Danio rerio: one gene and its partner. The protein of the gene in region 1 interacts with the protein of each later gene in a pairwise test. Links are inferred from orthologs where the notes say so. Each region holds a gene or a part of one and is shown in the gene's direction. Other genes may lie near its edges.

Region 1 (3,568 bases):
AAAATCCTACACGACTGTAAGTTTGATTGTGGTTCTTACATGTTTACACTCGGAGAGCAGCATTTACAGCAGATTTTTCAGTCCATAGTATTGTAGTGATATTAGCGTACGGTAAACTTTATTAACTTAGAAATCATTTGACTAAGGTCTGTCTTTAAACACTGTTCACACTGTAAACAATGTTCCTTAGACGCGTATTTCTGTTGCGCTTTGTGTGCACTGTAATCCACACGTGAGTCCAGCTGCGCTCTCATAGAGGGAAAATAAAAACAAAACCTTCACTGCAGCAAATTATAAACACAATACTGATGACTCGTATCCAAACATTTCTTGTTCTCCCACTTGGCAACACAACGTGGCGTCTCTCTGCCGTCTGAACACTGTACAGGTACAAACAGTCTTCAAAGCTACCATGCATATTACTGAGGTTGCACCGCATACACAATAGAGCGCGCTGATTGGTTTAAACCAAGTCTTACTCATGAATGAATGCAGCACACTCCGAGACGTAATAAGGCACTCTCAGGTACAGACGTCCAGTCTACACGCTGGAATACACGCTAAAATCTCATAGCCGTGACACGGCTTCAAAAATTGGTTTCAAACTGGAAGAACGAATTTGCTCGAAATAACGCTAAAACAACCTATTTTCACTTTTTAGTGAAATATTTGTCCTAATAGTGTTTTTAGTAGTGTGGGACACATATACGACTGTCAACAGCTCAAAAAAATGTTTTGTTGTTTCGTGACCCTTTAATGCAGTGCCTCTTGTCCAATCTGAGACCCATTTCATATCGCATTTTTAACAGGCAGTGAAGATTGCTGATTTTTAAAGAAATCAGATCTTAGATGTGACAATTTATTAAAGGAAAGACAGTTCACTAGAAGCCCTTGGGCTGCCTGGCTGAAAATTAAAAGTCTGAGTGCATATAGCCCATTAGACACACCTAGACAAGCTAATCAAGCTCTTATTTGTTAAAAAATTGATTAATTCATAAACAAAACAGAAGTGTTTTCTGAGATGAACAAATGCTCTTCTCTATCTCTTTAGTTACTATTTATTCACTAAAGAAAATGGTAACTTAATGTTAACTTGGTTGTTTGTTCAATTGTTTAAAAAAAAAAAAAAAATCAATATTTCATTTTTGAATACAGTTTCATGGGTGCCGCTAGGGGGGAAAAGTTAGCTGTTTTGGGGCTCCCAGAGTTACTATTACAACCCCTACTCCCTCTATTACCCCCACCACCTGCTATTCACTTTCGTACACTACAGTGCCCACCAGAATGTTGTCATAGGGCCCGTACTGGTCAGCGGCGCCCCGGCTTACTTGCTTAAACATCACTCATTCAGTAATTTTGATCTCTCAAGATTTGTTTTTAATATTTTTTTTAAAAGGCAGTAAATACTCTCTTTCATCCACCTGTTTTATGCTCATTTTGGTATATTGGTAGGATACATTTTTTAAGTCTTTAAAAAGACGGAAATGCATTTACAAAATAAATTTATCTTTAAAGTTATTTTAATTATATTTAAATAAGTGTGATGATAAACCAGCAGATTTGACCACATTTTAAATCATCTAAAATGTTGTTTTGGTCATTCTAAAATCCCTCAGCCAAAGTCTGTCATCTAAGTCTATTGGTATTATTAGTTCATTATGTTTTGTCTTTGTCTTGAGGCACAATTAATTTATTTTATAGAAAAAAATGCATTTCACTCTGTCTCACTCAATTGAAATAGTGTTTTATTAGCAAATTTATTTGGATGGAAACCTAGCTAATGTAAGCTTACACATTCTTTAAACAACCATTGCAATGTTGTTTTGGATGATAAATATCGCACACCCCTAGGGAAAACTATAAAAATAAAAAGTAATGTATATTAAAAATAATAAAGCAAACACTAAACTCTAACCAAATGTGTGACCAGATTTTGCCGACAAGCACATTCGCAAGGAGAGGCCGGAGGATCTAGATGTCCCTGCTGCTCTGGCAGATTTTATTCATCAGCAGAGGACAAAAGAGCACGTGGACGACATGTAAGATGCGTTTAAGGGATTTATTCAATGCCTCTGTTACTTACCTTGCATCAGTGCTAATTTTGTTCTTCTTTGTAATAAATTAGTTGTAATGCTGTTTTCCAGGTTTTCCCACCCATATCAGTATGAATTGGACCATCTGGTCATGCCAGAGAATCTGAAGTGTAAACCTGAAGTCCAGGTCAAAGCCTTATTCAGCTTTTCTCCCCTGACATTTATGTTCTTTTAACACTGCAAAAAACTGTTTTTGTCTATTTTTAGTCCAAATATCTAAAAAGTCTTAAAATTAAGAAGCATTTTCTAGACAAACAGAACATATATTATATCATTTTTAAGAAATATTATGCCAAAATCAAGTGAGTTTTCCTTAAAACCAGGCAAATGAATCCACCAATGGCGTAAGCTAAATCATTTTGTTTTTGCTTTGAAATAATATTTTTTTCTGCTACCCATATAGGCAGATTATTTTGCTTGTTATAAGGAACAGTTCACTTAATTTTGGCATATTATGTCTTAAAGGAGTGGTCCAGAGTGTAATTTAAGCCTTGGTTGTGTTCATAAGATGCAAAGCAATGTGTGCTCATGTTTCCTTTGTAGATAATCACATAATTTTTTTTCGTGTATCTTACTTAAAATATATACTGCTACTCTGCTAACATGAAAACGACTATCATATTAATAGTTTCTCCACAAGAGGCTCTGATTGGTCATCTTACATAATGTGCTGTGTAAATGCTGTCAGTCAGTGTAGCTGTAAGCCATATCAGACAGGAGGATACAGCTGAACCCCATCCCTGCTCCAAAATAAAACCTGAAAACTGTCTTTCATATATATATTCAGATTATGTGAATGTTTAAGTAATATGAAATGTTCACATATCTCGTGAGATGTAGTATGCACGGAAAGCGGCCGCATAGAGAGACCCTGCAGCGCAGCTGAAGTTTGTGGGTGTTTACAGCGGTTTGATGGATAAATATGAATTTGTAGCTAAATTGTTAGTAGTGCCAATCAGCATTTTCCGTAGTTTACATCCTTGTTTATGTTATTGCTACATTGTACTGTTTACGCTAGAAACTGTGCATGTAATAGATTAATTTTAACAAATAAAAACACAGGTTTTGGCTCAGTCCATAGCTTTTGCTATTATGGCTGGAGCTGTTTCTTTAAGGAGTTTTAAGCCGAATCCATCACTGAACTGGGAGAGATTCTTGAAGCTGTCCTTTGTCAAATGCTAGCTATATATTTTTTATGATTCTCTGGAACATGATTAAAATTAAACTGTAAGCACTTCTCTCTTTGTGTCATGTCATTTAGAAGCCTAAACACAGAAACAGAACAAGCTTTGCGGAAATAACAGTGTTTGGACAGCATTTTAGCTTTCTCCGCTATAACATTACAACACCTCTGGCCATGCCCCTTCACTGCACGGGGTGTGTGTAACCTAAAGGGTTTAAGATCTCATTAAACCAGAAGTATTTTTTGTAATCCCCAAACTTTGTTTGCTGTAGACTTTGCTAAGCTAACTCTG
Region 2 (4,346 bases), on another chromosome or scaffold:
GCTCAGCTACAGGACGAGCTGATCAGAGTTAATGACTCTCCATGTGGGAAAGAGACACAGATGTCTCTTAAAGAACTGGTGGTGCAAGAGTTTGTATGATTTTTTTGTGTGACTAAAATGATTATGAGGCGAGTTTCACTGCATTTATTTAATTATTTTGTTGTCAAAATGTACACAAATCTAAATTCTTTAATAACTTACCTCGAGAACCATTGATTTCTTGAATTTATGTAAAGGAAACACTGAAAGAAACACCAAGAAACTTGACTTTACCTTCAATCATTGACTTTTCGGCTTAGTCCTTTTATTAATCAGGGGTCACCACAGCTGAATGAACCGCCAACTTATCAAGCATATATTTTACGCAGTGGATGCCCTTCCAGCTGCAACCCAACACTGGAAAACATTCATACACACTCTTTCACACTTATACACTGCAGCCAATTTAGCTTACCCAATTCCCCAATTCCTGCATGTTTGGAGTGTGGGGTAAACCGGAGCACCCACAGGAAACACACGCCAACACGGGGAGAACATGCAAACTCCACACAGAAACGCCAACTGACCCGGGACTCGAACCAACGACCTTCTTGCTGTGAGGCTACCCAATCATCATATGCTGAGATTCAAATGAACCTTGAAATATTGTTTGATTGTACTCAACTGAGTGTTAGCTAAAACGTTAAATAAAAGTGGTAATTATGACGCTTGAATATACAGTATACACCATATAATTACCACATTTGTATTTCAAGCTAATTAAATTGCACTGCAAAGTGTTTTAAAGCACACAGTTGAATTTAAAAACGTGAAATAAATATAAAACAGTGCTTTAGTTCAGCTAAAGTAATACAAATGTGCTTAAAGGGGCCTTAAAATATATAATATTATAATATATATTAAATTATTTTAGAACAAACATATATTAACCCAATATTTGACTATAATGTGGTGAAAATAACTGTTAGTTACGCTATTACACGACAATAAATATGAATAAAACAACTTAATGCTATAACTAATGTCTGTATTTACAAAAATCCTCAGTAAGAAAATAAATAGCAACTTTTAAGTCGTTTACAGTTGTTATTTGCCAGTAATGAACTGTAACAAGCGAAGTTTGTACACAGTAAAGTAAAAACTCACCTCAGTAATGACTCCTTTCAGTGATTGAAGACGAACTGGCGTGTTTAATTAGGTAAATTTAACCATACAGGAAAGGGTTAATGCGCCACTTCAGACGAAAGCAATAAATTGTCGATACATTCGACAAAATTGTATATAGCAAATCAAATTAAAGTAAACGATACCATATAATACAGACTAACATTAACTTAAACGCTTTATTATGCGATTATACTTCAAACATAAGTAATAAATCTGAAATTATTGTCAGTGGATGTGTGTTGTGCGACTCGTCGAGTCTTGCACATGTTGCTAGAGCGCATGCGCAGAGTTCATGCGGACTGCTATTTATTTTAGCAGCTCGTGCTACGCACAGTAATGCTGCCAGTGTGGAAGACATAACTGTCAGAAAAGCTCGCTTTATCTCTCTTCATTCACTTAAAAACGTGTAGTGTTAGTTCTGATTTGAAATGGCGAACGATGGTGGAGCGAAGCTGTCTAAAAACCTCCTGCGGATGAAGGTAAATAATGTTAGCCGACTCTCCCAGTGTCGGAGGAATATGATGAGCTCGTGATTGGGATCGTACTAAAATGTCCTCGTGTTTGAGGTCGGTTTTGTTTTGATATGAACTGAATGCTGTAGATCACTCGCTGCAGAACACGTGACTGATAGACAACAGTCTGTCTCTGTGTGTGTCTGTTCATCTGTGTCTCTGTCCATTATTTTATCCGCCATATTGTATATCCCATTCGTTCTGTCCATTTTTTTCATCCCTCTGTCTTTATACTTGTCTGTCTTACCATCTGCCTTGTTGTCTTACTTTTCATGTTTGTTTACCTCGTCCTTTGGTCTTTCAATAAATCTCTATTTCCATCTTATTTTTTTTATCTGTCTCTCTTTCTGTCCATCTTTTCTTCCATCTGTCTTGTCATTTGGTCTGTTCTTGTCTTTCTGTCTGCCCATCATTTTTATCTACCTCCATGTGTCATTTTATGTCAACGTCTTTCTTCTGTTTATCTGTCTGTCTATCTTTTAATCTGTTTTTCATCTGTCTGATAATCTGTTTTTGTCTGCGTCCATCTGCTTGTCATTTGGTGTCTGCATCTTTTTTCCATCTGTCTGTCCATCTTCTCATCTGTCTGTCTGTAGTTCATGCAGAGAGGATTGGATGCGGAGGTGAAGAAGCAGCTGGATGAGGAGGAGAAGCGGATCATCAGTGATGAACACTGGTTTCTGGATCTGCCCGAGCTCAAGGCCAAAGAGTGAGACTTCAACAACTGTTTTTTTTACTCTTATCACGGTGCTTGTACACCCAATGAATGAAATAGTGTATGACAACAAATATCTGTGGAAACCCATTTCTGGTGCATAAAAAAGCCTCAATCAAAAACATCAAACCAATACCTAATTATACTAATACTCAATTAAAGGGGCAGTTCACACTGAAATTAAAATTGTCATCATTTACTGCACTTTGATTTATTCCAAATCAAAACAATTTATATTTCTTTCAGCACAAAATAAGATATTTAGAATAAAGCTGAAAACCTGTAACCAGGAAAAACAAATACTATGAAAGTCAATAGTTACCAGTTTGCAACACGCTTTAAAACATTTTCTTTAGTGCAGTTAAAAATTATTTAATCCCAAAGGTTTAGAATATTGACCAAAAGCAAGCAAACAAATAAATAAAATTCAGACATTTCCAATATGTTATATCTAGATCAATGGATCCAAAACCACCAGTAGGTGGCGACAAATACCTGACTGATTCAATAGTGTTTCTTCCCATACTGATAAACTTCCGGTGAACAGTTAATGTGACTTATTTCTAAGGGTGTCACGATCCTAAAGATTCTAAAGGCACGATTCGATTTTCGATTATGAATGATTAATTAATGACCAATTAATTATTTGTAGCCTACCGTTTAAACTACCTGACCTGCATGGTCTTTGTTTTACCCATAAACAAATCATACAGTAAATGAATAAAGGCAAGATGCACACATAATTACCTCCTGTCAATCACTTTTTCTGCGGGACTCGTGAATAGGCAGTGATCTGTGTCATTATAATGGCGTCTGTAAAAAAGACGCACAACCAACAGGAACCAGCCAACAGTGTCTGAGGTGTTCGCTAAAATGACAAAGTACAAGTGAGTGAAAGATTGAAGCAGTCCTCTGACTGCCTGGACCTGCTGTCTCGAGCGCATGGCTGTGTGTGCATCTGTGTCTGTGTGGTCACGTGATGTGCGTTTTCAGAGGTAATGAGGAAGGAGGGCTGCTCAGAAATGCTACACGCCACTGTGGATGTCAAATCGTTGTTGTTCTAAAATGCCATTTAAAAACAAAGACAGTGTAAACAGGGCCTGAGTGTGAACTTTTCGCGAGCGGATTTGCAACGGGGGCGGGCGGAGGATCGCGATGCTGGTGTTGTCTATCGGACGAACCATACGTAATACGTATATAGCAGAGCTTGCAAAACTGTGTTTTTTTTTTTTGTCGACAACACGAACGTTGTCAACATAACTCACTGGAAATCCAAAATGCTTAAACACCGGCGACTTCATTGAAAGAGGAGAGGGTTTAAGCTCTGTCGACGGGTCTCCTGCTTCTGCAGTTTAACAAGCACTTCAACAAGCCTGTTTTTTTCCCGCTTGGCAAGCCAAGCTGACGTGACATCGGGGCGTGGCAGCATCGACGATTCTATTTTGTAATTCGATAATCGAAATTGAGCATAAATTTCGATCGATTTCGATTAAGAATCGAAATCGTGACACCCCTACTTATTTCCATTCCTTTTACAGCATCTATGTTGTACTGCAAATAAAATACAATCAGTTAAATAGACCCAAGCATTTATTTAGTTGATCAAGCGCAAAACGAGATCAAAAGTTGTTTACTCGCACACGTCAGAATCAGCAGGCTAGCGCAGAAGCTCCATTTAACATACTGGGGTAAAATAAATGCTCATATTATAAAGACACGACGGGGGAAATGTAAATTAATGTAGTGTTTCTTGTACAATCTGAGACCCGCTTATATCGTATATCAATTAGGCATTGAAGATGGTTGATTTTTAAAGAAAACAGGCCTTTTTGTAACTGCATACAGTAGGACTGTGCGATAAATCGAATCACAATTTGAAATGTTGCGATTAGCTTATCACAAGAGGCTGCGATATGACATAGATTTGTATTTAATTTCCCACGCCCCGAGCA

What was found.
Region 2: the proteins of exosc10 (region 1) and mphosph6 interact in binary tests that used the Homo sapiens proteins (3 or more experiments, as listed by UniProt). The link is inferred for Danio rerio from reciprocal best matches to the Homo sapiens genes EXOSC10 and MPHOSPH6.

The regions. Positions count from the first base shown.
Region 1 is NC_133198.1:16,320,177-16,323,744, forward strand, and holds part of exosc10 (exosome complex component 10), read left to right. Parts: intron 1-1,930; coding exon 1,931-2,039; intron 2,040-2,144; coding exon 2,145-2,220; intron 2,221-3,568. UniProt on the Homo sapiens protein: Catalytic component of the RNA exosome complex which has 3'->5' exoribonuclease activity and participates in a multitude of cellular RNA processing and degradation events.
Region 2 is NC_133200.1:38,541,749-38,546,094, reverse strand, and holds the start of mphosph6 (M-phase phosphoprotein 6), read left to right. Parts: upstream 1-1,502; 5' UTR 1,503-1,595; coding exon 1,596-1,646; intron 1,647-2,275; coding exon 2,276-2,388; exon of another isoform or gene 2,389-3,626; intron 3,627-4,346. Other genes in the region: snx20 (sorting nexin-20), read left to right, coding at 1-99. UniProt on the Homo sapiens protein: RNA-binding protein that associates with the RNA exosome complex. Involved in the 3'-processing of the 7S pre-RNA to the mature 5.8S rRNA and play a role in recruiting the RNA exosome complex to pre-rRNA; this function may include C1D.